Medicago truncatula: one gene and its partner. The protein of the gene in region 1 interacts with the protein of each later gene in a biochemical or structural test. Links are inferred from orthologs where the notes say so. Each region holds a gene or a part of one and is shown in the gene's direction. Other genes may lie near its edges. The genes, in order: adagio protein 1 and two-component response regulator-like APRR9.

What was found.
Region 2: the proteins of adagio protein 1 (region 1) and two-component response regulator-like APRR9 form a complex in vitro, tested with the Arabidopsis thaliana proteins (3 studies listed by BioGRID). The link is inferred for Medicago truncatula from reciprocal best matches to the Arabidopsis thaliana genes ZTL and PRR5.

Annotation. Positions count from the first base shown.
Region 1 is NC_053043.1:15,927,827-15,944,132, reverse strand, and holds the start of adagio protein 1, read left to right. Parts: upstream 1-8,215; 5' UTR 8,216-8,525; coding exon 8,526-8,755; intron 8,756-14,610; coding exon 14,611-16,219; 3' UTR 16,220-16,306. UniProt on the Arabidopsis thaliana protein: Component of an E3 ubiquitin ligase complex that plays a central role in blue light-dependent circadian cycles.
Region 2 is NC_053044.1:45,863,068-45,879,304, forward strand, and holds two-component response regulator-like APRR9, read left to right. Parts: upstream 1-9,489; 5' UTR 9,490-9,626; coding exon 9,627-9,870; intron 9,871-10,814; coding exon 10,815-10,976; intron 10,977-11,072; coding exon 11,073-11,203; intron 11,204-11,316; coding exon 11,317-11,647; intron 11,648-11,733; coding exon 11,734-12,106; intron 12,107-12,313; coding exon 12,314-13,022; intron 13,023-13,124; coding exon 13,125-13,232; 3' UTR 13,233-13,606; downstream 13,607-16,237. Other genes in the region: transcription elongation factor SPT4 homolog 2, read left to right, coding at 1,635-1,724, 2,061-2,152, 2,243-2,298, 5,839-5,900, 6,531-6,581. UniProt on the Arabidopsis thaliana protein: Transcriptional repressor of CCA1 and LHY, thereby controlling photoperiodic flowering response. Involved in the positive and negative feedback loops of the circadian clock. With RVE8, forms a negative feedback loop of the circadian clock.

The DNA of each region.
Region 1 (16,306 bases):
CCTTCTTTCCTATTTCCCCTCTCGCTATCTTTTTTCATTTATTTTACACTAAATACACACATCTTAATCCAGAGTGCTCTGGTCCTAAACTAACTTTTAATATTATATTGTTGTTTAATTTATTTATTCTCCATAACAATTTGGTCCTTATTAATTCAATTAATCCAGAGTGCTCTGGTCCTAACCAAATCTTAATATTAACTTACAATTAAGTTAAATCACTCTTCAGAATAATCTGGTCCTAATTAATAATTAAATTAATCCATAGTTTTCTGGTCCAAAATATATCAGTGATATTGTTCTACTTTTTTTTTTTATCTTTATATTTCTCTAGAATATATCAGATTTAACTCCGGCGCTGTGGCGCCACCGTGATAACTCGCCGGCCACCGCGCCGGATTTCTTTCCAACCACCCATTCCATCGTTTTTTTAGAAGATAAGTAGAGAGAGAAGAGAGATTTTTTTTGGAAAGTAAAAGGAGAAGAGAGAGAATGAATTTTTAAAATGAATAAAAAACCGTCCACAACCTATATATACTACTAAACCGAACTGGTTCGGCCTTTAAACCGATCTGAACCGGCCTAAAACCGACCATGAGGCCCAACGCGCGCCTCTGTCATCTTACAAAGCCCAATTTCTTTTTTTCATTACTGCACCCCCTTGTTACTGTTTATACCCCCTTGCATCTCATCTTTTTTTTTATTCATGCATTTTAATTTCTTTTTGCATTTCTATTTTGCCTCGCATTTCATTTTCTTTATTAGTTTAAAGTCATCGTCTTACATTCTATTCACTCATGCATTTTAATTTTCGTCATTTTATTTTTACTCAAGAATTAGAATGTACTTAGGGCCAATGTACAATATAAATGAAAAAAAGTGTGTGCGTGTGTGTGCGCGCACGTGTGTCTTTTATTTTCTTTACCGCTTTATATATAAAAAAAATGCAAAAAAATTAGGTTAGGGATTATGTGGTGATTCAACGTCACTACAGAAATTCACGCGCTTTTATTTTTATTGCTCCGTCAGTCTAATTTTCATTCATTATTCAAAAACAACAAAAACATTCAAATAACAAAAATCACAAAAATATTTTCATAATAAACCTTAATTTTCAATCAAGTGATCGTTATTTTTATTTTTCTTAATCAAACTTTCAATCAATTTAATTCAACTTTGAGTCAATTTTCTTCAATATTAAAAACACAAACCAATTCTTATTTGCCACTTGGCCTTTTATTTTAAAACTTTTTCAAAGACTAATAAAAAACACAAAACCAATCAAACGTCAATTTCTACCCCGAAGTACGAGGTTTTGATCCCTCACGGGTACATAGGCAAAGGACCATGTCCTTCCAAATCAACTAAAATCGATTTTCTTTTTCTTTTTAACTCATCATTCAATTCTATTTTCATCTCTTTAAAAACAAACAAGTTATAGCACAAAAGTTGAATAAAATCAAGAGGTTCTCGTAGAATACTACGAATATTTAGGGTGCTAATACCTTCCCTAAATATACCCAACCCCCGAACCCTTAATCTTAAAAATGTGGTATTTGAACCTTTTTCCACTTTCTTTTGAAAAAAAATTAAAAGTTCAGTCGGGAAATAAAAATAGCGAGTTTATGCTAATAAAATAGCTTGATCTCCGAAAAATGACGCGACATGTGTCAACAGAAGCAAAGCTTATAGGGCAAAGAATTTGGCAGCTGAATTTGTGGAAGGTAGCTTTAGAGATCAATATAGAAGGTTACATGACTATGACAAAGAATTACTTAGATCCAACACAGAATCTTCTGTATCCATTACTAGCACCCCTTATGTAGGTACTGAGGCTGACATAGAGAATCCTAATGCCATAGTTTGTCCTCACTTTCAGAGAATGTATGTGTGTTTTAAGGGGTTTAGGGATAATTTCTTCAACTGCAGACCCATTATTTGTTTGGATGGGTGTTTTCTTAAGACCCCTTATGGTGGAATGTTATTGGCTGCAATTGGAATGGATCCTAATGACCAAATACTTCCAATTGCATATGCTCTTGTGGAAGGAGAGACTAAAGAATCATGGGAATGGTTTTTGGAGCTTCTCATAGCTGATTTTGGTGGCACCAGACTGCGCAAAACTTATACTATAATAAGTGATCAGCAAAAGGTAAACTAACTATTCATTTTTCTTTAATATGTTCAATTACTTGTCTTTAATTGCATAAATTAATTTTAAGTGTTGTTTTTTTGAAATGTATTATGTTAAACAGGGACCTTTGCTAGCAATTGATAAATTGCTTCCTGGAGTTGAGCAGAGGTTTTGTGTCAGACACCTCTACAACAACTTTAGGAAGAGATTTCTTGGGAAAAAGCTGAAAGAGTTAATGTGGAGGGCTGCAAAGGCAACCTACAGAAATGCATTTGAGAGGGAAATGATGGAATCAAGAAGATTAGTGAGGAAGCTTTTAAGTATCTGTGTGAAATTGAACCAAGGCATCGAACTAAGGCAATGTTCAAGGGTGATACAAAGTGTGACACACTAGTGAATAACATATCAGAGGCCTTCAATTCTGTTATTGTTGTTCCAAGGTCCAAGCCAGTTGTATCTATGTTGAAGGATATTAGAGTGTATGTCATGTAAAGGTGACAGATCAATAGGGAGAAAATTGCTAAGTATGCTGACGGTGAAGTTCTGCCAAATATCAAGAAAAAGCTAGAAAAGGAATCTTCTTATACCAATAATTGGTAAGTCAGGTATTAATATAATGATAAAGAATCTTGATTTTTAATTCATCTGGTGATATTTAAATTGCATAATGTAACCATCTTGTTAATCTTAATGTAGGCAAAGTGGAGATCATGATTTCCAAGTTATATATATGTCAAGCACTGGAGACAAGTATGATGTCAACTTGTTGGACAAAGTGTGTGATTGTAGGAAATGGTTGTTGACAGGACTACCATTTTGTCATGCCATTTCTTGCATGAAACACAAAAATTATAGGATAGCTGACTATGTGCCATCAATTTTAAAAAAAGAGCAATATGCTGCATGTTATTCCAGCATCATTTTCCCTATCAATGGCCAAGATCGACAGACTGCACTGACCTTCAACCACCACTTGTGAAAAGCCAACCAGGGAGACCTAAAAAGAAGAGGAGAATGGATACAAGTGAGCTGATGAGAGATAACTTACAAATGAAGTGAGCTTCTTATGAGATTAAATGTAGTAGGTGCAAGCAAACTGGACACAACAAGTCAACGTGCCCACCACCTCCACCACCATCATCTCAGTCACAATCATCTCAGCCACACCTTGCACATGCTTCTCATCAACAAGCTTCTCAGTCACAGACACACTAATTTCAACCAAATATACAGAAGAAAATTAGATCACCTAGGAGGAGAAAGACTGTGAATGTGTCTCAAACACCATCTCAGACACAAGCATCTTTGACACAAGCTTCTCAGTCAAAGGCACACCCAGCTCAGACACAATCATCTCAACCACCAATTCAGAAAAAATTTGAGATCACCAAGGAAAAGAAAGTATGTGAATGTGTCTGATGTTGCTGCAACTCAACCAACACAAAAGAAAGGAAAGAAGATGTCAAGGAAGGCAGGATTTTCATCTCAGCCTTAGAAATTAAGCATTAGAAGTCTTTTTGAATGTAATATGCACTATTAAGCACTTTTGAATGTCTTTTTGGTTAACTGGTATTAAGTAGTCTTTTTGAATGTAATATGTGCTATTGACTGATATTAAGCACACTTCACTTTGTTTTTGGTGTTCAATGTGTATGCACTTTTTAACTGTCAAGCACTTAGTGTTGTAACATTGCAACTAGTTTGATTAATTATGTGTTGTAATTGCACTTATGAATTTAATGGAATGATGTGCTATTAGGCACTTTTGCATCTTATAATTTGGAAATGTTATAATACAGCTTCTGTTATAGCATTATACAACTCAACTTAATTGTTCCTGTTATACCATTATGCAACTCAACATGCTTAAAATGAACATCAACAATGCACAATTCATTCAAACTATTGCATTCATTCATCATACTCAACACTTTACATTCATTCATCAAACACATTACATCCATTATGTTATAATCAACCTAAACATTACATTCATAACAAAACCAACTAATTCACTCATCCACTCAAATTACAAAGTTGTTCCTAAAATTCAAAATACATCATTGTTCCTATTTCAAATAAAATCCACTCAAAATGGATGTGGTTTTGCAAACTAAGAGTTAATAGGTCTTTATCCCCTGCAATATAGGTCACTTTTGGTTTTCACCCCTGTAAATTTTTTTTGTCAGATTCCGTCCTTGTAATTTTTTTTGTTTTGAAAAAACCCCCTAGGCTAGCTGACTGTGCATTTTTGCTGATGTGACACGCTGAGTCACCGTTTTCTGATGACGTGGCACACTAACTGTATAATTTTTATTTTGTACACGTGGCATTTGTTATTTTTTTTTTAAAAAAACGAAAAAAAATGCTGAAAAAATAAAAAAATACCGGAAAAAAAATTAAAATAAAAAAACGAAAAAATCTAGAAAAATAAAAAATAAAAAAAATCAGATAAACTTTTTTTATTTTTCCAGATTTTTTTTACTTTTTCCGGTATTTTATCAGATTTTTTTTTATTTTTATAAACTTTTCTAGAATTTTTCTATTTTTTAAATTTTTTTCCAGTATTTTTTCAGCATTTGTTTTCATTCTTATTAATTTTTTTTTAAAAAAAATCACAAATGCCACGTGTGCACAATAAAAAATAAAAAATAAATAAAAATTATACACTCAGCGTGCCACATCAGCGAAAATGCACAGTTAGCTGTCCCATGGGGTTTTCCAAAACAAAAAAAATTTACAAGGACGGAATCTGACAAAAAAAATTTACATGGGGGAAAACCAAAAGTGACCTATATTGTAGGGGGATAAAGACCTATTAATCCTTTTGTTTTTCAATGAACAAATCTCTTTCATCCATAACATCATCTTCATCAACTAACTTAAAGTAGCTGCATCCTTTGTCACTCGAATTCCTGTAGTTTCTACAACACCATAATTTCTTCCCAAAATTACGATTCAATGCATCAGTTACAGTTTGAATTACAACTGTTTCTCCACACCTACGATTTGGTACTACCCTTCTTCTCAAATTAGACCCAACATATCCAAATGCATATGATTGTTCATGAACTTACTGAGTTTTTGATGTCTGGTTCGACATTTTAGGTGAAGGTGTTGTGTGGTTCGAAATTCTGGGTGAAAATATGGAGAATGAAGAAGAAAAAGAATGGTGGAAGAAGGAGAAGGAAGGTCACGATGGAGAAGAAGAGGAATAATGAAAGAGGAAAAAAAACCCTAATTTTCACCAATCTTTCCCCTTTTATATTGCTGACAAGGTTTGCCATGTAATCTAATGATAGGCCCACGTGGAGAGCATACTTGGACAAAGTTAACGTTTTTTGTAAAAAACTAACAGAAGGAACCAACTGGGTAAACAGAGGTAAAATTATGGGACCAAATTGAGATAGTTTAAAGTTAAGGGACTAAAATGAAATTCAAAAATAAGTTAAGGGACCAAAACATGAATTAAGCCATACAGTAATTATTCTTTTAAAATTTAAAAGGAGTGAATACCCAAATTCGTCCCTGGATTTGCACGAATCGGCCAAAAACGTCCCCCAATTAGTCGAAATGCACGCTTAGTCCCTGAATTTAACAAACGTCAATCAAATTAGTCCTTCCGTCCAAATGCACCGTTAGTGGTGCTGAGTTGTCTTCCTGCATGACTTGTTGTCTTGTACACGTGTACAAGGACGAATTTGATTGAAACACACAAAATTTCAATTGTACTTTTGAATTCAATTTTTCCTGCTTTTCCAAATTTACCCTTGTAATATCTATACCTTTTCATGATCACATTTCAGCCATTCCATCAAAAACATCCCTGACCGTTCTTCTTCCCCCCTAACCCTTCATCATCTTCATCAACATCATCTCCGGCGAGGAACGTTGCAAAAGAATCAGTTTTGATAGAAGATTTCGTCATTTCAAAAGGTAACGCCGTTCCTGTTTGTTTTCCATGCTTGGTTGACCCTTGGATCATATAGGGCAACTTATAACTACTTTATCCAACTAGTGAATTCTCAAATATATTGGGAACCAACTCCTTATGAAAAACCTGTGCCACCAAAGGTGAGAAGGGCTGCAGGAAGACCAAAGAAGAACAGGAGAAAAGATGGCAATGAGAAACCTGTTGGTGGGAGTCAAATGAAGAGGACTTACAATGACACTCAATGTGGAAGGTGTGGATTGATTGGTCATAACTTAAGAGGATGTAATAAGCAAGGTGTTGCTAGGAGACCAAAAAATTGGATTGATACTGAGCCAGAAGAGGAAAATGTTGGAGAGAATGCAGAAAATGTTGGAAATGTACCAGGAAATGCAGAAAATCACGTTGCTGAAAATGGTGGAGGTGCTGCAGAAAATGTTGGAAATGTTAATCCTGGACATGTTGTAGCTGGAAATGATGGACAAGCTGCACAAAATGCCAGTGTTGGAAATGTTGCAATTCAGGGACAAAATGATGTCAATGGTGTTGCAAATGAAGCAGTGCTTAGACAGGTATGAATGTTAGATTCTAAAGATCGATTTTCTAGTAAGTGTAGAAATTCAGGGACTAATTTGATTGAATTTTTTATTAAATAGGGACTGATATGATTGAAATTGTTGTTGCAGTGTGTTCCTGCAAAGAGGTATGGCATTAGAGGTCCAGTTATTTCAAATGAGAGACCTAAGCAAACACCAGTGAGGGGTCCTGCACCTGACATTGTTCGAGTGCCATATCCAAGTTATGGTCCATCCGGTTCAAGTCAACCTATGTTCATGGAGTTTATCCCAACCCCCGGCTTTCCAAAGAAGTGAAGCTTGATGCATGCTTAGATTGTGCTTTTTGGAATATTTTGCTTTGTTTACATTATGCCCTCTAGTTGGGTTCTTTTTGTCTATGTAATATTTAAAAACATCCTTTATGACTTATGACTTATGAGATATGACTTATAGTTGAGTTGTTTTTGCCTATGTAATATTTCAAACTTCAGAGATATGACTTATTTAATGATATTTTCAAGGATGAAGTTGTGTGTTTTGTCATTTTTAATTCGTTTGCTGCAAATATATGCATCAAGGATCAACTTGGAAATATGTTTATATAATTCAAGGACTTATTTGACGTTTTTTTGAAATAATTCAGGATCAATTTGATAGCAAGTAAAAATTAATAGGGACTGTATTAGAAAATATTTTTTGAAATCAATCAATTTCGTCCTTGAATTTTTTTGTCATTATACATCAATTTAGTCGCTGCTTATGTGGCGTCTGACATGGCATCCCGTCTGAGATGTTAACAACCACGTCATCACCGTTAACGCCCCAAATGGACGTAGGGACTAATTTGATTGACGTTTGTTAAATTCAGGGACTAAGCGTGCATTTCGACTAATTGGGGGACATTTTTGGCCGATTCGTGCAAATCCAGGGACGAATTTGGGTATTCACTCAATTTAAAAGTTTTCAATTTTCAATGCATTGATTACACAAACTTTTATAAAAAGTTACAGTACTATTTAAAATCCTTAACCAGTGCTCCGGGGCGGAGGCACTAGTTAACATTTCCTCTTTTGAAATTTCGATACATTAACAAACTATTAGGGGGCGTTTGTTTTTGGGAAACACAAATTATTCCCAGGAATAACATACCCGGGAATGAAAATATTAAAATTTGATTCTTGGGTATTTGTTAAAAAAAGTGTTTGACAAATAACTTGACATTTCTGGAAAAATTGGAAGTTACAATTTTTTTTTTAAATCTATGCATAATATCATGGGAATGCACATTCCCATCTCTTTACATGAGAATATATTCATGGGAATAATGGAAGTTATGGGAAGTTACTCCATTCCCAGGAACCTTTATACCCAGGAATATTTTTTTCTCAACCTCATAACAAACATGGGTATAATCATTCCCTAGCCATGTATTCCCGGAAATGTCATTCTTAACCTTGAAACAAACACTCCCTTATAGTTATTCATTACATGTTGGACTTACCCGGGAAGAATAACCATTATGTTGAGATATTTGTAAGCAAAGAAAAGAAAGGCGGTGAGTACCCACTGTCCATGTTAAACTCCATCCATACAGCCCACATGTTAAAAACGAAACTAAACACAGTCATCTTTTTTCATTTTCCCCTCAAACAAACCTGTCTTAACCCTCCACCCTTTTTCTTACCCTATTATTCCTCTCCACTCATTTTTCCTCTTCTCAATCTCCATTTTCCACTACTAACACAATCAACACTTATTACTACATCAATCACAATTCACACGTATTCTCAATTTCCAACACCAATTCCAAAACGCACCGTTTCATTCATCATCTTCATCTTCATCTTCATCCCTATGGGTTGAACCTGAACTTGAACTTTAACACAATCGATTCAATTTCCCGATGGAGTGGGACAGTAATTCCGATCTAAGTGGAGACGAAGACGACGCCGTTTCATCCTCTTTTCTCCTAAACGACGACGTTGGACCACTTCCTTTCCCTGTTCTTCAAACCGCACCGTGTGGCTTCGTCGTCACCGATGCACTCGATCCTGATCACCCTATTATCTACGTCAACGCCGTTTTTGAGATGCTTACTGGTTATCGCGCTGAAGAAGTTCTCGGTCGTAACTGGTACGTCCTTTATTCTATTATTCTTATTTTTTTTTTATTTAATTTAATTTTGGATTAATTAATTATTTGCTTTATTTAGTGATGCTTTTGTTTAGGTTTAGGTTTAGTTTTGTGATTTTGTATTTTTACTTTTTTTTTTATATGTTTGATTGAAACCCTAGGTTTTAGTACCTTTTTTGTGTGTTGTAAAATTGTTCAAATTAGAAATCTTTTCATTTCTTCAATTGTTGAAATCTGTACCGGGAATTTGATTATGTGGTTTGGTGGTAGTTATTTTAACTGCTAGAGTTGCAATAAGTATATTTTTGGTAAAAAATAGCGAACAACGGATTAACTAGCTTATAACAGATAACTGATAAGCTGACTTGTAGCTGATAGTGGATAAACTAGCTGATTGAATTTGTAATGTTTGGTAAAATTAAGATTAGAAGGGTAAAATTGAGATAAATAATGATAAGCTATAAGCTACTTGAATTAGCTTATCAAAAAGCGCGGTAAGCTAGTGAAAGTGACAATTACCAAACTGGTCTTTTTTAGTCAAATGAGCCTATAAGACATAAACTATAAGCTACAAAACGGGTCTTGCCAAACAGACCCTTTAGCTACTGTAGATTCCTTAAATGGATGTCAATTACCTCGAGGGGATTAGTTTCTGCAGTTGCATACAGAAGACATCTTTTGTTTACCAAAATAAAAGATTTTGTGTAATAGAAAATGTTGGTGGTGGGAATTATGAAGCACTGGCACATACACGGACATCTGACATGATATTGGTAATAATTTGAGAAAATGGAAGTGATTGAATGTAAACATATGGGTTAAGGTTGTTTTGGTGTCGGGGACTGAAGATGCCTTTATCTGAAGTGTCGGTGTTATGTCTTTTTATCTAACTTCTACCGAAACTTCTCTTTATTAAAAAATTGTTGGTTATGAGTGGTGATTGCTTCTGATGTTTATTGCTACAAGTGAGTGCCGAGTAGTGAGAGGAAATATGGTTGTGCAATATGTTTTTTGATAGGATGTGTTTTGTATTAGCTTTAGTTGGGAGTAATATGGCAAGTAGTATTAAGTTTGAGTTGTTGACAATCTTTGGAACCATGGGTGAAGAAGATATGCGACACGTCGACTAAATTTGTAGGACATAAACTAGAGTCAGACACCAATGTTTTTGAAGTTAGTTTTATCGTTTGGGACAAAATAAAATACTATCATCTATTTAATCGTGGTATCCGACTTGTATTGATTTAAAAATTCAAAAAATTTATAGGTAAGAAATATCCAAAAAAACATGAGGTGTTTTATACATTGTACAACACATACCTGACATTGATCTGCAACCATTTTAAAGCATTGATGCTTCCCAGATAAACAATATCTAGGTTCTGTAGTATATTGTGGAAGTTGTTATAATTTCTCTATTTAGGAGCACTGTCATTGGAGAAGAAGTATAACTGAGTTCAATACTTTGATGGACTATAGATAATAATTTCTTAAGGCTTTGTTTGGGAGTTTGGAGGGGAGGGGAAGGAAAGGCTTTGGGGGGAGAGAAATATAGGGGAAAATTGAGAAATCTTTCACATTTTTTGAAAGAGTATTTTTTTAGAGAGTGATAAATTAATGCTTATGATTAATGTTTTTAATTTTATGAATATTATACCTATATTAAATTTGAAGAATTCATATAAACCCTCCAAAATCCTCCTCCAATACAATTTTTTAGTTCCCCCAACTGAGGAGGGTTTTATATTTTGAAGAAAAATAAGCCCTCCAAAGCCCCTCCTTCCAATGTCCTCCATTTCTTCCACTTGCTCCTTCCTTTTTCCAAGCCTTTCCTTCCCTTCCTCTCCAAACTTGCAAACAAAGCTTAAATAGCTCTAGTGTGATTTATAAGTCACCAAGGTGACAATTTACGCTTCTAAAAATGTATGCCCTGTTCTGTTAACGTTACATCATAGGAATTTAAAAACTAATTTCTACCATAAACCTGTGGAACTTGAGAAAACTCAATGAGCCAACTAAGAAAACCCTACAACCTACGAAACTCAGTGTTCATCCTAACCTCACCCAAAATCTTTGTTTAGATCTCACATCTGATTAGTTATATCACCAAAACATTTCTTATAAGAACCTGAGCAATCTTTATCCTTTGAGTTAGCTTTTTGAGTTGAATTAGGCCCAGATTTTATATGATACTAAAATCTACACCAAATCTGATATCAGGTCACCTGTAGATGTCCAGTGTTACAAACTTCACACTCTAGAGATATCTTGTCCTGGCCATGAGTAGCGTGTGTTAAGATCCTAGACTGACTAAGGAAGTATATTCAAACCTCTCTTACTAAAGACTTGAGCAATCCTCAACTCTGGAGGCAGTCTTTGGGGTCAAGTTTGGCCAAGATTCTGAACTTTATCGACTCGGATATTACTCCAAACTCCATCACAATTTGCGAATGCTTATCAAGCCTTCATTGTAGCCTCAAACAAAATCAGAAAGCTCTTCTACTGATCATCCACTCCCACAACAGGGAATATCCAGATACAAGGAGCATAAACTAAACCCTTCCCAAAAAAAAAAAAAAATAATTTTTTTTTAGTCATTCCAACCTCAGTGATTCCCCTCACAGATAGACTATAAACAAAACCATAATTTGGTAGAGCACTAATCCATTTGATACAGAATGGCATTCCCTTTGATCAAGGACTGCACTGCACTGGTAAACTTCAATCCCAAACCGCTGGTCCTCATCTGTCTATCTATGAATTTGCTGTTCGTCCATCTTGAACACCCAAATCAGATACATGACTAGACTCCAGATGCATCATCTTGTTATCACCATCTCACAAGTCACAACCCATGGAAGCCACTGAAACTCAGATGTACCAAGCATCTGACATCAACCTAGATACTATTTGCTGCAATCAGAAGTCAGAACCAATGGACTTGGACTGGAGGTTTGTGAACATGTTTGTCAAGGATTCTGGTGATTGCATAATGCTTTTGGGTCTTGAGTTGGGTACTATAGTCTGTTGAGAGGAACAACGCTCTAGGTTCTGGATGTTGATTTTTCCCCCTACATGATTCTCGTGTACTTAAATTAGAAAGAGGATCTGAGATTGAGAAGAGATAGAGTGAATGAACGAGGAGATTTTGTATTCGGGATTTCTTAGGTAAGGTGGTTAGAAGGCTTAGGGTGTAGTATTCTGGTTTTGAGGTTGAAGATTTTTTTCCTTCAGTTAGTGGTTTGAATAGAAGTTAGGAGAAGGGTTTATGACCTCAATTTTGGGAAGGGAAATAGGCACTTGAGTTGGTTACTTTCAAGTTTGAACCACATAAGGCGTATTTGCAGATGACCTATAGTTTGAGGGAGTTATTTTCATTTTAACTAAAAGGAAAATAAGATAGTTGATGTGGTATTGATAATTTGATCGAGACCATTAATAAAATTGGCGTATGTTAAATGTAGGATGCGAGACTGTTGGGAACCCATAAATTGTATTGAATGAAAAAGACAATTTCATTATGAAAATAGAAAAGAATAGGAGAGAAAACTCTCCTCCAAGGCCCCCCCTTCAACAATAGAATTCCAACTCTATTTACAGAAGTTTACAATATTCAATGATACCCTCTCTAATTCCATAACCTCCCTATTAATAAGACAAGATAATCCCAATTACCTAATTAACTAATAACTTTCCTAACTAACTCCTTATCTCATACCCTAACATACTTGTCCTTATCCAATATCCTAACAACACACCCCTCCTCAAAACAACCTTGTCCTCAAGGCTGCAATCTACTAGAAAAAATTCTTCAGGTTGAATGGTTTTTGTAAACAAAAATCATTCCTCCAGGATCCATTGTTGAGAAGATAAATATTTATTTGAACTGTTGGATAACTGCTTTACAATGTTGAATGGTTTTTGTAAACAAAAATCATTCCTCCAGGATTCATTGTTGAGAAGATAAATATTTATTTGAACTGTTGGATAACTGCTTTACAATGTTGCAATAGTTTCTACTGTCACTCCCTTGGGTTTCGGTTAGCTTGTTAATTCCTTTGAACAACAACTGAAAATCGCCTATATCCATGAGAATTACAGTGAATGCAGTTGCGTTGAGCTTGGACCACACCACAACAATTTGCTTTTAGCTTGTTCTTCTGTCTTTATCTTCTTTTTCCTTTTTTTTTTCTCCAGTCTTTCCTTTTATTAAACCTAGGTAGTCAATGGTGGCATTTTGCATCGTGATTGCACTGGTGCGGCGTGGAACAGTGACTGGCCGCCACTGTGAGGCCTGGTGTGTCACACATAAAGGGTACAGGCGTTACTAGGGAGTTCATGGCACATCAAACCACGCCAGGGAGGGAGGGAGGGGAAGGAGATAAAAGAAAGATTCTGGTCTGATCTACATTTTTTTGGACACAAATATCTAGGTTTTCTGGCCACCACTCATGTTTTGCTGCTTTTTGAAGCTGCTGCACCTGTCAGAGACACCATTTAAGTCCGGAAGGCCCACTGCAAAAAAAGCACAATCGATTAAATTGCGCCTTTCATCCCTTAGTTTTTTACAATAAAATAGTAGCAGTAGTAAACCAATAATAAAATAACACAATGAATCTCATTAAAACTATACTGCTTCACAAAATATTTAACAGTCAAATTTAAATCAATAATCAGATAAAGAAGTTATATATATATATATATATATATATATATATAATTACGTGTATGTGTGTAATTTTTTTGGCATATATCACATATGCACCAATAATATGGAGGTTGTTTTCTTTCATGATTGACTAAGCTTAATGAATTTTATTCGTGGGATTTTTATTTACCTATCCCTCTTCACTTCAATGTGAGAATTTTACTGATTTAAACGACACCCTGCATTGATGCAATGGCTCTTGCTCACTTGTGCTTATGCAAAATGACCTAGCAGCAGCATCATTATTGTATAATGTTATGATTATATGAATTCCTTGAAGGATGTGATCTTAGGTTGTATCATACTAGAATGTTGTTGATAATTAAGAGGAGATATTTAGCGATAATTTGTGTTTGGTTGTGTGAAATGTGAAGTCATTAAGAATGATCGACTTTATTTTTTTTGTTCTTAATAATAATGGCGGGTTTGGGTTTACTTGTATTATGCTAAAGATTGATTCAAAACTGATCCAAGTTTCACAGCTAAGAAGCGCACATAGTTTCTTCACAGCAATTCATCTGTAGATTCATTTTCTCCCTCATCTTCCTTCTACAGTTTTTTTTTTTTGTTCACACAAAGAGATGCAAAGAAGGGCCAAATGCTGAGGGGTAGTTGTGGTGTTAAAACAGAATTTACTTTATTAAATCTTACCTTGTAGCTCATTGGGACTGAGGTGGTTTAGCAGTTTGTGTATATGTTATAATTTGAAATGATGTTCTTCAGGCAGTAAAATGAATAACCTCTGCCCTGCATCAAGGAAATAATGGAAAGAAAAGAAGGCAAAAGAACACTATATTTGAAAAAATAAGCAATACTGTTGTCCCTTTGTAACATACCACACTTGATTGAGTCTCTATTGTTTGGTGCTTAATCCAATGTGCAATTATTCTAATCACACTTGATTGGAAGTTTGTGTAGACAGAAGCCTATGTCTATGTTATGATTTTGAAGTAATTTTCTTAAGGTAGTAGAATGAATAATCTGTGCACGCATCAAGTAATAATGGAAAGAAAAGAAGGCAATCGAGCACTCTTTATGAAACATTACATGTTGTGCCTTTGTAACATTTCCATGCTTGATTGAGTCTCTCTTGTTTGGTGCTTAATCCAATGTGGGTTTATTCTAATCATTTAAAATTATTTTGCAGCCGTTTCTTGCAGTGTCGAGGTCCATTCGCTAAGAGAAGGCATCCATTGGTGGACTCATCAGTAATTTCAGAAATTAGAAAATGTATTGACGAAGGTGTTGAATTTCAAGGTGAATTGCTGAACTTCAGGAAAGATGGATCTCCGCTTATGAACAGACTGAGGTTGACACCTATATATGGAGAAGATGATGAAATAACACATGTCATTGGAATTCAGTTATTCACAGAGGCAAACATTGATCTTGGTCCTCTTCCCGGTTCTACAATTAAGGAATCTCTTAAATCGTCTGGTCGGTTTCACTCGGTGCTTTCCTCATTGCAACCTCCTCCATTGGGGGATCGGAATGTGAGTCGTGGAATATGTGGGATATTTCAATTGAGTGATGAGGTATTGTCTCTCAAGATCCTTGCTCGCTTAACTCCAAGAGACATTGCATCGGTTAGTTCTGTTTGTACGCGATTGTATGAAGTAACAAGAAATGAAGACCTTTGGAGAATGGTATGCCAAAATGCATGGGGTAGTGAAACTACTCGTGTTTTGGAGACTGTTCCTGGTGCAAAGAGGCTTGGATGGGGTCGATTAGCAAGGGAACTGACCACTCTTGAAGCAGCAGCATGGAGGAAACTGACTGTTGGAGGTGGGGTTGAACCCTCACGCTGCAATTTTAGTGCTTGTGCAGTTGGAAATAGAGTTGTCCTATTTGGTGGTGAAGGGGTTAATATGCAACCCATGAATGACACCTTTGTATTGGATCTCAATTCTAATAATCCTGAATGGCAACATGTCCAGGTTAGCTCACCTCCCCCTGGTCGGTGGGGCCACACACTTTCTTGTGTTAATGGTTCTCGTTTGGTTGTATTTGGAGGCTGTGGAACACAGGGCTTGCTAAATGATGTGTTTGTTCTGGACTTGGATGCAACCCCTCCAACTTGGCGTGAAATTTCTGGATTGGCACCTCCGCTTCCAAGATCATGGCATAGCTCCTGTACTCTTGATGGTACTAAGTTGATAGTTTCCGGCGGCTGTGCTGATTCTGGAGTACTTTTGAGTGATACTTTCCTCCTTGATATGTCAATGGAAAACCCTGTCTGGAGGGAGATACCAGTCACATGGACACCGCCTTCCCGTTTGGGCCACACACTATCTGTTTATGGTGGTAGGAAAATTCTGATGTTTGGGGGTCTGGCCAAGAGTGGGCCCTTGCGTTTCCGGTCAAGTGATGTGTTCACGATGGATTTAAGTGAGGACGAACCATGCTGGAGATGTGTAACAGGGAGTGGAATGCCTGGTGCTGGCAATCCTGAAGGCATAGCTCCTCCTCCCAGACTTGATCACGTGGCTGTTAGCCTTCCAGGTGGTAGAATATTGATTTTTGGTGGGTCTGTTGCAGGCCTTCATTCTGCCTCCCAGCTTTACATACTTGATCCAACTGACGAGAAGCCTACATGGAGAATCCTAAATGTACCTGGGCGTCCTCCAAGATTTGCTTGGGGACATAGTACATGTGTTGTTGGAGGGACAAGAGCTATTGTTCTGGGCGGTCAAACTGGGGAGGAATGGATGTTAAGTGATTTGCATGAACTTTCATTGGCAAATTCTGTCATCTAGTCCAGTGAATAAATTGTATGCTGCAGTGAAGGGAATGCTCATGTTGTAAAATCATTTTGAGCAGATTTGGCGGCAAAGGCATTTGTT
Region 2 (16,237 bases), on another chromosome or scaffold:
AAAAATATTTTATAATATATATAAGTGATGACATGTCACATGGTTAATAATTATTTTGAAATTTATATGAGCGACAACTTGTTTATTATGTACTAATTTTTTTAAAAAAATTAATTACAGACAATGGTCGTGTATAACTAATTTCCACTGATAACTATAGATTAATTTATTTATTTTGCTGGACTTCGTTTTTTAGATATTGTTAGAAGAAGTAGATGTTAGTAGATTTGTATCAGTGACAATTTCGCCTTAATAATAATTATTAAAGTTTTTTTTAAGTTAACAATAACAACTTGTTTCATGTATAATAAATATTTTATAATATATATATATATATATATATATATATATATATCTATCTATCAGTGATGACATGTGACATGGTTAATAATTATCTTAAAATTCATATCGGCTAAAACTTGTCTCTTTGTGTTATAATTATTTTGAATTTATACTCAATGATAACAAATGCTGCGTATAATTCTATTATTTTTTTAAGTTAGTTTTTCACTTACGTTATGGTTTGAAAAAAAAGGAGAATAATGTTTTTTTGAAGGAAGAAGAATAATGTTTAATAATATATATCAATGTATCTCTTGTCTCGTGTATAATAATTATTTTATAATATATATCAGTGATGAGATGACAAATCATATGTTCAATACTTATGTCCTCGTGAGCTTAACTTGGTTGGTTTGGATAATGCATAATATATCCAAAGGTCCGGGGTTCAAACTCCGACCACTACCAAAATATGTTCAATACTTATTTTAAAATTTATATCAGTATGTCTTGTTTATAATAATTTTTTAAAAATTTTGCGAAGTGACAACTTGTCTCGTTTACAACAATTATTTTAAAATTCTGAAGTGATGAGTTGACCCTTGTATAATATATTTTATCAATCTTTTTTAAAACTTGTCTCTTAACTATTTATACCTCGTCTATTACTGCCTCACTTCAAATCTATACACATCACTCTTTTTCTACGACTCTCTTTGATATGTTGTACGTATCAAACGATCAATGTTTTACCGTTATTTTTATGTAACAATGAAATATATTTATCTTATGTTTTTATGAATATAAAAAATAAATAAATTTTAATATTCATTAATTAATGTAACAACACGTTTTTATATCTTGTAAAAAAACACGTCGTTATATATATATATATATATATATATATATTTAAAAAAATAAAACCAAACTGATACTAAACCATATTCTCAATTCTCTCACTCTCAGAATCAGCTGCTCATCCCTCTATCTCTTCTTATTTGCTTTTTTGTATAACTAATGAATATATTTTGTATAACTAATCGGATTTATTTAGTTGGCATCAAATGGAAATGACTTTATGAAGAGCAAATGAACTAAACTATTAGTTATTTGTAGTTATATGACATCATCTTAGTTAATTGTGGTAATTTGGTTGAATAAAGTAAGTTAAAGACAGATTTTACCCTTACTTTGGTGATTTGTCAATTAACCAGGCTGGGGCATTAATAGGATTTCCACAACATCTTCTCTTCTTATATTAATTAAGAGAGATTATTGGAATTTCGCTTCTTATTATAATTTTTGTTTTTTTTCTTATCTAACAATCAGTTCAAACAGTGTGTTGAAAAACAATGGCAAGTGCACCTGCTCAAATCCCTACAAGCTTTGGACATGAATTGAGGGCTTGTCTTCGTTGCCGCCTTGTCAAAACCTACGATCAGGTCTTACTGTCCTTCCTTTTCTCTCACTAGTCTTAGTATATGTTTGGTTCTCCTCTCAGGGTGCCCAATTTATTCTAGAGGTCTATAATTGATTCTGACATTTTTGGTTGCGGTCAAGTAGAATCAATTCTACTTGAAGCTATAATTTGTAGCGTTTGATCATAGAATTGATTTTTATACAAATTTTTTGTTCAATTACTTTTACCTTCAACTCGCTTTTAACAATCAATTTTACAGAATCAATACACTCAAATTCAATTTTAGTCACCGCATAGCCAAACATACACTGATTTTGTTTTACATAAATAAAAATAATCCCTGTTTTCTGATTTGCAGTTTAGGGAGTCAGGATGTGAGAACTGCCCATTTTTACAGATGGAAGAAGATCAAGAGCGTGCTGTTGAATGCACCACCCCCAATTTTAATGGGTATGTCCGTGTCATATCTATTTACATCAAAACCCTAATCACCTTTGAAGCTTCTGAATGTCATGTTTTCTTCTTCATTTTGATTTTCAGGATCATTTCTGTAATGGATCCAACTCGAAGCTGGGCCGCCCGTTGGTTGCGCATTGGTATGTCCATTTATCTATTGTAATGCTTATTATAATATGTCTTGCCCATTGCCTTTTAGTTCTCTTTCCCTTTACAGTATTATGATGATAGCATTACTTTGCAATATACAACTAGTCATACACCCGTGCAAATGGATGGGTGATACTCTACGATTACTAACATAGTAACAATAAAAAACTGAACAATTATTTAAAATTACATGAATAAGTCTAAACAAATTCATGAGATAACATCAAATAGCGATATAAATTTAAGTTTCTCACAGTTAATACCAAATTAGAATTCATTATTTTACATTATAGAAAAATTGCAACAACAATAGGTAAAGAAAACGATATTGTAAAACACAATATGGTCTTTAGTTTTTTGATACTACTATATGGTCTTTAGTTAGTATAGTAGTTTTTGCAAGACATTTACAAAACATATTGGATGTGGTTAATCTCGACAATACATATTGATATTAAGAATAGCATGATCAAACTTTTTATGTAGAGATCAGAATACACACTTTTTCTAGGTTTAACTTAGTACATAGAGATCAACATACACACCTTTTCTAGATCGATGCAGACATAACCTTCATTACAAAAAGCTAAAGCAAATGTTGTGCTACCAATTCCATGTTTTCCATTCATAGTAGTTATTTAACAAAATTAATTTTATATTTTTTTAAATCAATTGTTTGGGTTGCTTATGAGATACCAAAAACCTCATAAATTAACACCACAAGAGTAGAGAACATACTATTAACCTAAACATTAAATAATACTTAATTTTTGTCAATAACAATTACAAATTTCATTATTAAATTTCGTATTCTTCCTCCTTCCAGGCCCTTACTCGATCTTTTAGCCAAAATGTAGAAACTACAAAACATTACCATAACTCCAACACATGTAATCCATAACTTTGATTGTGGTTGAGTTGCAATTTGATATCCATAGTAGATGCACTACTTTAGAAGCAGATACGAATGGGAGACAGCATTATGTGGAATGCCGTTGTACGAATTGGCAATCACAAAGTCATTATTCAAAAACATTCTACATATCGTTGTCTCTCATTCACGTCTACTATGGATACCAAATTGCAACTCAACCACAACCAAATTTATGGATTACATGTGTTGAGTTGTGGTAATGCCTTGCAGTTTCAACCTTTTGGTTAAAGGGTTCAAGTAAGGTCCTAGAAAGAGGAATGCAAGATTTAATTATGAAATTTATTTGTAACTAACAAAAATTAAGTTACGTGGAATGTTTAAGTGAGTAGAATGTTCTTTAACTCCTTTTAAACACCATGAGTGTAAACAACATACTATTCACCTAAACATTGAATAATACTTATATATGGTAATAAGTTTCATAATTAAATTTTGCACTCTTCCTCCTTCTTGGACCTTACTTGACCATTTAACTAAAAGGTAGAAACTACAAAACATTAACTTTGATTGTGGTTGAGTTGCAATTTGATATCCTTATAAGAAGCATATATGAGAAACAACATTATGTCGAATGCCGTTGAACGAATTGGTAATCACAAAGTGATTATTCAAAAGCATTCCACTTACTGCTGTCTCGCATTCACATCTTCTTGTTATGGTGCATATACTATGAGTATCAAATTGCAACTCAACCACAACCAAATCAATGTATTACATGTGTTGAGTTATGGTAATGCTTTGCAGTTTCAACCTTTTGGTTAAAGGGTTCAAGTAAGGTCCTAGAAAGAGGAATACAAAATTTAATTATGAAATTTATTCTAGCTGACGAAGATTAAAGTACTGTTTAATGTTTAGGTGAATAGTACGTTATATACTCTCGTGGTGTTAATTTATGAGATTTCTGATACTCATAAGCAATTCATTCAAGATCGTATTCAAAGCTTGGTCACGCTAGTTATACTTTTTAATTTTCTTTTAAAGTCTGGTCTGCCACCCACTACACTAGACACACGTGGTGGCTTTGTCACTATAAGGCTCTGATCTGTCACCCTCTGAAGTTTCGTCGCCGAAGAAGTTCCCACTCGCCATAACAATCCGTCAGACTTTTCGGCACGTATTGGCCACTTGCCGTCGTAAATCGTTTTGATCAAGAAGCTGTCGGTTCAGGTCATCTCGTGGGCGCCTCTTCAACCTGTTTTCGAGGTCGTTTGTCTGATGCAGAGTCTTTATCAATTCTATCCAGCAAACCCTTGCTCTTCACTCATTGTCTGAAGCTACCGTCTCTGTTTTTCTATTCGTGCACCCTTGCAGTCTTAAGATCCTCTGGTTTTTAAGTCCAGTAATTTTCCATATTATTCTCATCGTTCTTGATGGCAGAAATCTCTAGTACTTATTATGGTATTAGAGCTATCCTAGATCATTAGTATATAGACTGACACCCCTCACCTTACAAGCCAGTTTTGTAAGCTCTGCCCAAATTCTAACATGAAATCACATTCAAAGATTTTGCCAATAATGTCTAATAAGGAAGGAGTATATAAACATTTAGTGGTTGTATCTGACAAACTCCTTAAACATGTCTATACATTCAAAGGAAAAAAAAAGCATAAACAATATAAAAGCATATCATTTGAAAGCTTCATGCTTGGCTGTTTACATTTTCCCTCCATTTCCTGTTGTAAGACATTTTCAAAAACACCCTGTGAGTGCACATTTTGAGTATCAAATTAAATCCAAATCAAATGAACTTACATACAATCTCACAATTAGCACTAAAATGAGAAGAAAAAGACTAAAGAGTTAGTCATTCGCCGTCAATCTCACAATTTCATCATTTCAGGAAAGTTGAGATGAGAATGTGGAGACAGCGATTTGTTCATATGTTAAGACAAGGATAGAGTACATGCCATCTAAGCCCGGCTACAATAAAGCTCACACAATGTCTACAGCTGCAGAAAATCACAAAGTCACAATTGAAATCTATATAGAAATAAAGAGTCACAGTCAAAATCATAAACCTTAGTTGCTGTTAAGATTTTCCATTTACAGTCAAGAACCCCATTTTCTTAGTCTGTTTTGAAGAAGAGGCTACGTTTTAGATGTAGGTTATACAATGTTTTGATTATGGAAGATGGGCACTGAGCAGAGGAGTGAGAGATGGGCGGAGAGCAAAGAGATGGATAGAAGAGGAATGTGATATAAATTGTACCAGTTAAATTTGAATTTTGAAAAAAAAAAACGAGCAAGTGAGAAGCTTTTCCTTTTTTGTTATAAAGAATGGTGCCAGAGAAAGAGATTGGGGTTGATTCAAAACATGTAAATTAGTACCTCTGAATTAAAAACTGGTGATGTAATTTAGTGAGTGGCACCTGGAGAGAATTTTCATTTGTGTGAGCTAAATGTGTATATTATTATAGAGATAGAGAAATTGTTGTGGTGTTTTTTTCATTTGAAGTTTATCTTCTTTGTTTATTTTTTTCTTTCAACTGTGAAGTGCCGTTTAATTTTTCTTTTTTAGAATCTCTATCTAGATTGAAGTTTGAAATCTTGCACACAACTGAGATGTGGAAATTAAAGTTTTTCTTATATGTTGCAGGAAAATTTGTTCCTGGTGTTTACACTCTTGCTGTCTCAGAGGCTCTTCCAGACGATATGCAGGTTTGTATTTTTCTATTTGTGTAATATAGATTCAGCATACATTACTATTATTTTTGATAAGGGACTTTGTTTTTGTTATTACATAGTTGTCTCTTTTCAAGTATAAGATTGTGCACCTCTTTTTTTATGCCACTCTCTCAAAAACCATAATTTAACTTTAAGTATTTTTTTTTGGGGATTTCCCCCTAGGCTGTGCTTTTATCCATTAATTTACCTGGTCGGATATAAAATAGTTGGCAGTTTATTCTTTGTCTTTTGCAAAGGTGTTAAAAATTTAGGGAAGCTCTAAACACACAGGATGTGTTATGTGAAACACCGTTGCCTTCTGAGTTGAGATTTTCATTAAATGCTCAAGTGGTTATAATGTTTGGCCATGGCAACTAAGATTAGGTTATTTTTGCAATCAGTTGTTTGTTCTATTATGAAGTATGAAGAAGTCAGTGTTGCTCAACTTGTATAACAAAATAAAAGTTTTGCTCACATTTGTGCAAAGCTGCCTGATACACAAAAAACATTTTTTTTTGCCTTTCTCTTGTATCAGCCTATCGAACAGTTTACACTGAATTACTGTTGTATGTTGAACTTTGTTTATTTATTTATTTATTTATTTTCTTATATGCCCATTTTCAGGCTATTTGTGAGGATAAGCATGTGCCATATACACTTCCCAAACGTTCGTGAAACAAGTAAATATAGGCCTTGTGACATCTCTAACATGGTTGGAATCGAGTACGTATTGATGTGGACTTTAGTGCTAGTTATGTTTGAATGCATTATTGAAATGCGTTGTTAAAATTATCTAAACAGAAGTTAGTTAGTGTGTACGTGAGAAGAGCTCATGAAACTAAATGTAATATAGGCTTCCTTTTGACTGATATGTTGTTGGCCAAAGTAATTTATCAAACTACTATCATGCAAGCGAATTACCAATTTGCGTTCTTTTGGTCATGCTGGAAATTTTCACTTTGGTTTATACTCCATCCGTCCCTATATGTAAGCACCCTTTGCCTCTAATAAAAGGGTTTTTAGATATAGGGACGGAGGGAGTACATGATAGCACCGACAAGTTTTTTTATTTTTATTTTACATCAATTACGATACTAGCAGTGAGTTTGAACTCATAATCATAATATTTCTTATGTATTAATGTATCCGTTCCTATATGTAAGCATCCTTTGCCTCTAATAAAAGGGTTATTAGATATAGGGACAGAGGGAGTACATGATAGCACCGGCAAGTTTTTTTATTTTTATTTTACATCAATTACGAGAGTTTGAACTCATAATCATAATATTTCTTATGTATTAATGTCAATGGTGCAAGTGGTGTCACCGTTCTCGTCCCAGTTTCTTGTTCGAAATTTTTAATCAATAATTTGTTTCTATCATATTGAAATGGTTTGAGAAAATAAAACAGAACAATAGGTGTGAAACATGGCATCATATCAATTGAAAAAATGTTGTCACATACATGACAAAAAAAAGTAATTATGATGTGTACAAATCTATTTTACAAGGGATTATTAGCATTAACACGAAGTTCGGGTCTATGTAATCCATTTGTATACTGAGAGATCGCCTCCCTTAGGGCCGGTTTGGATTTAGCTTATTTTGTGTTTATGAAAAATGATTTATGTAAATAATTAAGTTTTTATTTTAATTTATAAGCTCTTACTAACGAGAATTTTATCTTCATAAACTGTTTTTTTTTTTCACAAAATACCTTAACAAACTTGTAAATAATATATAAAAGCTTATTTTTGTATAAGCTGTTTTGTATAAGCTCAAAATAAGCTTATCCAAACAGGCTCCTCGCTGCTTAACTAAAGCATTTTATATATATGCTAGTCAACTACTCATTTGAGTTTTTTTCCACCTGTATCGAGCATCTTTTTTATGGTATCCATAAATTGATGCTGTCACAAAAATATGTATGAGTCTCTGAACAGATTAACCTGATGAAACTTCATACAAGATGTACCAATTGTGCTCATTTGAGTACTCAATTTATTTCAATTTGAATCTGAATTAAATCAAATGGCCGGTTCTCAATTTGAACTTATTTGATCACCGAATCTTCTTTTAAGCTTTTGTAGTCAATTATACGTTTCAATCATCTCAGACAATTCTTGCAAACTCCACATTACTATTATAATTGAAAGGAGTGGCACTTGTATATAAAAAAGCCTTTACTAACTGTTGATGAACTTCTTATTTGAGATCCTTTACCATCATTTGATACATTGTTTTTTAAACCTCAACAAATCAACTAACTTTTCCCTTTGATAGTATCCATTTCCATTTCCATTTCCATCTCTCAACTAACATAACATAAAAACTTGCTTTCGTTTGAAAAGTATCCATTTCCATCTCTTGGGTTTCCTCAGCATGTTTCTCATTGTTTTTCAATTGTTTTTTTTTTTCCTTTCACACATGCTTCTATAATTTTGGCAACAATCTTAAATATTTAACTTCGTTTGGGACAAAAGCATAAGAAAATTTTGAGTTAAGTTCGATTTCCAATAACATTATTTATTGGGAAAAAATAAATTACAACTTTTTAAAAGATAAATAGACACAATTTCTAAAATGAAATTTTCACTTCAAATTTCTTATCATGAGTTTTTTTGTTGGATGATCTGATGACTAAAAAATAAATGAGTCTAACATTCAAATTCTGACCCTTCCATACATACATAGGTAATGTTAATCGGTGCCTCCGACACACTGGTTAAGAAGTGAAATGTAGTAAGTATTGCATTGGAACTTGCGTTGTCAAGTTTTCAAAAACATAAAAAATGTTATTTTTATCTTAAAACTTACTTTTTTCGGTTTCCTTAACCCGGACACTGGTTAACATGACTTTACGTATATTATGCATTGTCTTTATCAAGTATGTGATATATGACGAGAATTAATAACACATGTTATCACTTCTTTTACTATTTTGCAAGTCAAATTTTGATAGATGATATATATTGACCTATAAAAGAGCGAGTAGCCAACATCTGCCCGCAGCATGTGATTTGTGAAGACATAGATAGAGTTCGACGACTTCAAAGCCACAAAACAAGACATCCTCAACTAAATTGCCACGTGTATCACTATTGTCCATGGGATTCTTGGACAGCCTCAAAGCACTCAAAAATATCTTCATTTTTTTGGATTAAAAAAATTAATATCTTTCTCCAAATGGGTCCATGTGCATTCCGAATTGTCCCTCATACAAAAATATCCCCTTGATATTTTCCATTTGGACACAACTTGGAATTCAAGAGAAAGTTATAACCAAACAATTAAAGCACAAAAATAGTTTGAATAAATTGAATAAATGAGTGATTGAAATGATATCCACCACTAATACAGCAGCACCAACCACGGGTTTATTTCTTTATAGATCTAGTTGATGACGTGGACCATGTGGGCCAGTGTCTGCATGGTTTCTAGATATTTTGTGCTAAAAGAATATATTTTATAACCGTTGGATTAGAACCTTGTTACCTTTGGTGTCACAATCTGTACCATTAGATCAAACTCTATTACCTTAAAAAATCTTGTACAATATCCATATATATACAATATATTGCTTTTTTTCTTTCTTCTTACTTTCTTTTATTTTTCACCTTCCAAATTGGATATTTTTGTTGTGTGCTAAGGTTTTGTTTTCTTGAACAAAGATTCTGATGCTATACGCTGATTCTTGTCTTTGGATCCAATAAACAACAACATGGGTGAGGTTGTAATGAGTGGTGAGAAAATAGTGAGAGTGGAAGAAGAAGAAGAGAAGGTGAGGGAAGAAGAAGGGAGCGGAGGAACTGAGAGTAGAGGTGCTGGTGGTGGTGGTGAAATGAAAGGGCTTATGAGGTGGGAGAAATTCTTGCCAAAAATGGTTTTGAGGGTGCTTTTGGTTGAAGCTGATGATTGTACAAGACAGATTATAACAGCACTTCTTAGAAAATGCAACTATAAAGGTACTATTTCTATTATTATTATTATTATTTTATTGTACAAGCTGATGTTTTTGTAATATTGTTTTGTGTTTAATTGGTTATTTAATTTTCTGTAAGTATTCTCAATTTTCAATTTTTCTTGTGTGCAAATTCATATTTTTTTAGTGTAAACTTTGATTTAATTAATTGTGAATATTGGGTTATATTGAGGCTGAGTTGTTGTTAATTAAGAGTATATATTTGACACATGACAAAAACAGGGGGAAAAAGCTTACTAGTAATTATAAATTTAGAAGTTTTTGGACTGCAAATTTTGGAAAGGATCAAGGCTCAAGGGTGTACTGATAGATTTGTAGATTTTGCTGATTTAATAAATAAAGATAAAAATTAAGGGGATGGAAAACAAAATTTGTGTGCACTAATTAATTGAAGACATTTTGTTTTTAATATGGTTTGATAAATTTTAACTCATGAGAAAAAATGTAAAAAATCATGTAGATTTTTTTACAGAGAAGTGACATGGATTTTTTTTTTGGCTTTTGCACCGGTTTCCGACCCACTGGTGAGCGACTAATCCGGCTCATGCGTAGAGGCATGGGCACTTGCCAAGCGTTGTTCCCCCCGGGAATCGAACCCGGTATTCCCCGGATACGTCCTTGGAAGGAGCTCCTTGCCATTGGAGCCCAAGCAACTTGGTTTAAAGTGACATGGATTTTGTTAGCTGAAAATCTTAGGAATTTATGGCACCTTGAAATAGAGTCTTATAGCAGTATGGAAATTACTAGGCTAAGCCATAAACTTGGTACAATTATTCAATTTATTTTCAATTTTTATCTGCCATTATGATTTTATATTATTGAGTTTTTTTATCTTGGTTGTGTTGTAATTTGAAAAACAAAATTAGTGTACTTGAAAGTAAATCTAAGCTCTAGAACTTCAAAATAACTTTGATCTGTTTTGAGCAGTTGCTGCTGTTGCTGATGGCTTGAAGGCATGGGAAATACTCAAAGGAAGACCGCGCAGTATTGATCTAATACTTACAGAAGTCGATTTGCCAGCCATATCCGGCTATGCACTTCTCACATTAATTATGGAGCATGATATTTGCAAAAGCATCCCTGTCATAAGTATGATATTAAAGATAAATTTTCTTTCTGCTTGTCAATTTTTTTCCTTATTAATACTTATATTAATTGTTTTGTATTTTTTTCATGCTTTTCCAGTGATGTCGTCGCAAGATTCAGTTAGCACAGTATACAAATGCATGTTGAGAGGTGCAGCTGACTATCTTGTTAAGCCAATTCGAATAAATGAACTAAGGAATTTGTGGCAACATGTTTGGAGAAGACAAACAGTAGGACTTCTGCTCTCTCAATTTTCAGTTCGTTTTCAGTTTTTCCCTAAAATACTAAGAATTTATTAACAAAATTGGTTGAACTTATGTTTATTATTTGTTTACTCTATCAGCAGTCAGCCGCAACCGCTGGCATAAATGGCCCTCAAGATGAAAGTGATACACAACAGAAGTTTGAAGCCACTGCTGAAAACAACGCTGCTAGTAATCGTTCTGGTGGTGATGCTGCTTGCATTCAAAGGAATAAGGACTTAATTGAGAAAGGAAGTGACGCACAGAGCTCTTGTACAAGGCCAAACATGGAAGCTGAGAGTGGCCTGGTTGATAACATGCATGAATTTTCTCAGCTGAAATGTGCGGAAGCATATCCAAGTGAAATAAAGACACGAGAACTTGACATTCATTTAGGCCAGGCTGTGATCGCGCAGGACAGTCACGCCGGAGGTAAATTTCTTTCTTTCACAGCAATATCATTTTGTTCGACTCACAAGGAAGAACTATCTAAAATTTGAACAAACTTTTATTTTTAGGATTAAGCGTGGCTAACTGCAATAATGGAGTGGCAAGCACAAATAACTGTAAAAATGGAGAGACAGGTGCAAATAATTGCAAGGACGGAGATGATCAAGAGCATTTTAGGAATGCTAGCATCAGTGGTGAGGTTCATGACAATCACTATGTTCAAATTTACTCTACTACTAAGGAAGCTATTGACTTGATTGGAGCATTTCGTACTGATCCGAATTGCAGTCTCAAAAATTCATCAATTGATTGCACAGGCAAGTTTGACCATTCTCCACAGTTGGATCTTTCTCTCAGAAGCTCTCATCCCAGCAACTTTGAGAAGGATCTCACCGAAGAAAGGCACACCCTTATGCATTCTAATGCTTCAGCTTTCAAGCGGTAATTGCTAAATCCCTTTTTATTCTAATTTTTTCCTTTCCGTGTAGTTAAAAATTGTTGTAATCTTAGTGATGAGTCTGAAGAACTTCAGAACATTATAAGGATGAAGATAGAAAGTGTATGAATTTTGTACTTGTGGTCTCTATGACTTCTCCACTCTGTTGAATTCTGCATGCTTATCACTGAAACGGTGTTCCATTCATGCAGGTATACTAATAGGCAATTGCAAGCATCACCTGCCGTAGTAATTAACTTCTCTGATCAACCAAGAGAACAAAAAACAAATAATGAGAACCATAACTCAGATAGTTCAATACCAAGTATGCAAAAAGAATCTGAACTTGCAACTTCACATTCCCAGCAAAGGCATTCTCTCCCAATTCCTGTGAAAGGTGTAAGGTTCAATGATCTTTGTATGGCCTATGGTTCAACACTTCCACCAGGGTTTCGTACACAATCAGGTCCACCATCAATGCCCGGTTCAGTTGTGTTTCTCGAACAAAACTTTCAAGCAGATGCATTTTATCAGTCAAATGTTAAACAAAATAATTCAGAGCAGCTTTACGAACCTCGCGGTCCAAATGGAAACAGTACTCCAAACCAAATTATGTATACACAGGAACACAAGTCAGAACATCCAGAGGATCAAAGACTTATCTCCCCTACAACTGATCAAAGTGTATCCAGTAGTTTTTGTAATAATGGAAATGCCAGCAATTTTAACAGCATTGGTTATGGAAGTAATTGTGGAAGTAGTGGCAATGTTGAACAAGTTGCCACTTTCAGAACAGCAGCAGTTTCAGAGGGAAAGAATGAAGAACTCACAAACAGTGGATATTCACATCGAGCTATGCTACGAGAAGCAGCTCTAAACAAGTTCCGTTTGAAACGAAAAGAGAGATGTTATGAGAAGAAGGTATATCAATATCAACATCAATATGAGCTTGTAATTATACAAGTAAGATCAATGATCATCATTGTTTTCATATTATGCTAACTTATTTATACTTTTTAACAGGTTCGATATGAGAGCAGAAAGAAACTAGCAGAGCAGCGTCCTCGAGTTAAAGGACAATTTGTTCGCCAACCGAATCCTGATTCTCTTTCTGGAGAAAAAGATTGCTAAGAATACTGATTATTACATTAGCAGATATGTGACTTAGTGGAGAGGATAGTGTGCTTTGTTAGCATTAGTTGCTTCAAAATTTTGTTTCCTTGACTTCTTAAGTACCAAAACCACTTGATCTGTATATGCTGTGTAAAACCATTTTTCTTTTTTTGCCTTTCCTCTAGATCCTGATATATATTTAATAATAACCTGATATACAGTTGTAATTTTATATAGTTTTATAGAGATTGTCGTGTCTCATTATTTAATTTTTTTTTTAAGGATTTGTGTACTTATTAGGTCTCGCTGATTTATCATGTAATGTTGGAGCTTCTTGTACAATATCATATTAGTATGACTCTGTTTGTGTTTACAGCAACCGGTTAATTGTATTTTGTTTATTGGTGATAAAATATTATACAACATCAATTATCCAACAAGTTTCTTACAAAATGGTTCAAGTGTTCAACACAATATATTCTCATTCAAAGTTTTGTACAACTCTTATACCAATTTTTGTTTTGTTTTGTATAACAAGTTCCAAATTATGCGAAACAAGTTTCAAATTCTCCAATATCTCAAGTCTCAAATACTTGTTAGGCTTGTTGATCTATGTGCCCCTGGTAGTCGATCTGTGCTCATAACTATTAAAATCGAGACTAGATATTCTAATTTACTATCTGAGTGCCATACCCGTTTGTTCATCAATCTATCCGATATTTTGATTATAGAACGCTGGTGCTACATTTCAAAACAACTAGATATTCAAAGAACCGGATAGATTGATGAACAAACAAGTTGGGAAGTCTTGGTAAATTCACAATCATACTCTTTTGGAACATAATTTGGTGCATCGGAAGTTATTTTCCGATCCCCCTGAAGTTACAGAGGCATTTTCAAAATTTTGGGGGCCTGTGAGGAGTGTGGGGGCGCATAGAATAACTTTCTTATTTATAAGGGCTGCATCAAATTCAGAATGAGCTTAATTGGATGGTGTAGTTGTTTTATATACAGAGAAGAATGCACTACTTGATCACAAGAAACAATTATGAAAAAGAGTTATACTCTTTCATAAACGAATTCGAACAAAGTGAATAGAGGTTGGTCTAGTAAGTAAGAAGTAAATTCATGTTCAACAGAAACAGAGTTCAACTTCCTCTAATCTTTGAAACTTTATATCATGCCCCAATGAAAACTTTGAGTGAGACTATTCACCTAAATTTTTATTGGCACATGACTAAATACATTCAATCATGTAACAACACACTCTTCAACTTGAATTTCAAATTCAGGAAGAAAAAAATATATTTTGGAACAAATCCTTCCTCTTTTTCTTGATGTTTTAGGACTTCAATTATTTTTAAAAATATGTGCATGTCTTTTTAAGGCTTTGCCAATTTATTTTGAAGTTCCCCTAAAAAAAGAAGTCATTTTAAAGTTCATGATGAAGATGTCACACTAGTATTATTTAAAGAGTAAATTCAATTTGATCTTATCAGTATCACTCTTAACTTAGTTTAAAGATGTATCTTTTCAAATTAAAGATATTTTTTTTGATGTAAAAAGATATTTGCGTTGATCAATATTCTGGAAGTCTTTGGAATGTTCTATTGCTTGATTGATTCTTTGATATACATTAATATAATAGTATGGAAAATATGAGAAGTTTTTTTTTTTTTTTTTTACTTCTAAAATAAACCAAAATCCTCACCTGCAGAAAGTAATTTTCATATATTTTTTTCTTAAAAAAATTTAGAATATGTAACTTTGTGAATTTAAAACAATTATTGAGCCACCCCATTTTTAAATAGAGTGCTAGCATAAGAAAAGCCAGGAGATAAAAATCAATTCCTTTTTCATAAAATAAAAAAAATCTCCTTCACTTGCTAATATCTTGAATGATCTTATCCCCTGAAATTTTGAAATGCGCAGTTCAAAATTATGGACTCAATCTCACGTTCAAAGAATTGCTGCACTTTAAGTTTGTGGATAAAATTAAAGAAGAAATTAGAAAGAATACGTACTTTAGAAAATGGACAAATGCAAGGAGCCAAATATTACATACACTCAATCAGGGGACCCCTTGGAAAAAACAGTGCCAAAAGTTGTTTGAAGTGTAAGTAAGTGCTTTTCAATTTCATTGCTTGTACTTCTTAACAATCATATTTCAAGTTTGTTTACTTTGCTTGTGTTTTCACAATACACTTAATCTATTTTATTGATCTCTATAGTATGTTTGATTACTAGGAACCTTAACCCAGGGATGGCCCTGAGGGTGGACGGAAATGGCAGCAATCTAAGGCACCATTTGTTTAGGGCATTATAATTATTATTTTTACTTAGTAGTTAATACTATATAAATATATTTGTTTTGATTATAAATAAATATTTTGTAACAAAAAATGTAATAACAAAAATATTGGAATGATTAAAAATATTATTTCGCCCTAGTCATAAAAAAAGTCTTAGGACCGATCCTGCTTCAACCAAATGTACATATAGACAAAACCGACATAACAAGAATTTCAGAAGTTTTATATTATCTCCCAATTAAACTAAACAATATATGTCGTTTACCCCTTTTATATATTTTGAGCAAATTGAGAGTCTTAAGATAACAAAGGTGAGAAGAGGAGAAACCACAAAGTTATGGGGTCTTCAACTCTCTCTTAATTGAATTGAAGGGGTTGGTACTCAATAATAACTGACAAAAAAAGGAACTTTTAATGTCAAACGTCTCTACCACAAGTGCTATTTGAAGTTAACTACTCACTAGAAGGGTCCAAAATTAAAGCAATTAAATGGTCCACCATCACCATGTATGCATGATGAACATCCCATGCTAATCTCTTCTTAATTATTTATTTATTTTGCTATTAAACTATTTTAAGACTTTGATGATTAATCATATCGATTAAACCATGGAAACTGACTCTGGCCCCGCAGCTGAAAAATCATGTTGAAAGTGGACAATTATCTCAACTCAAAAAGCGAAATTAAAACACATTTAAGGACAAGAAATC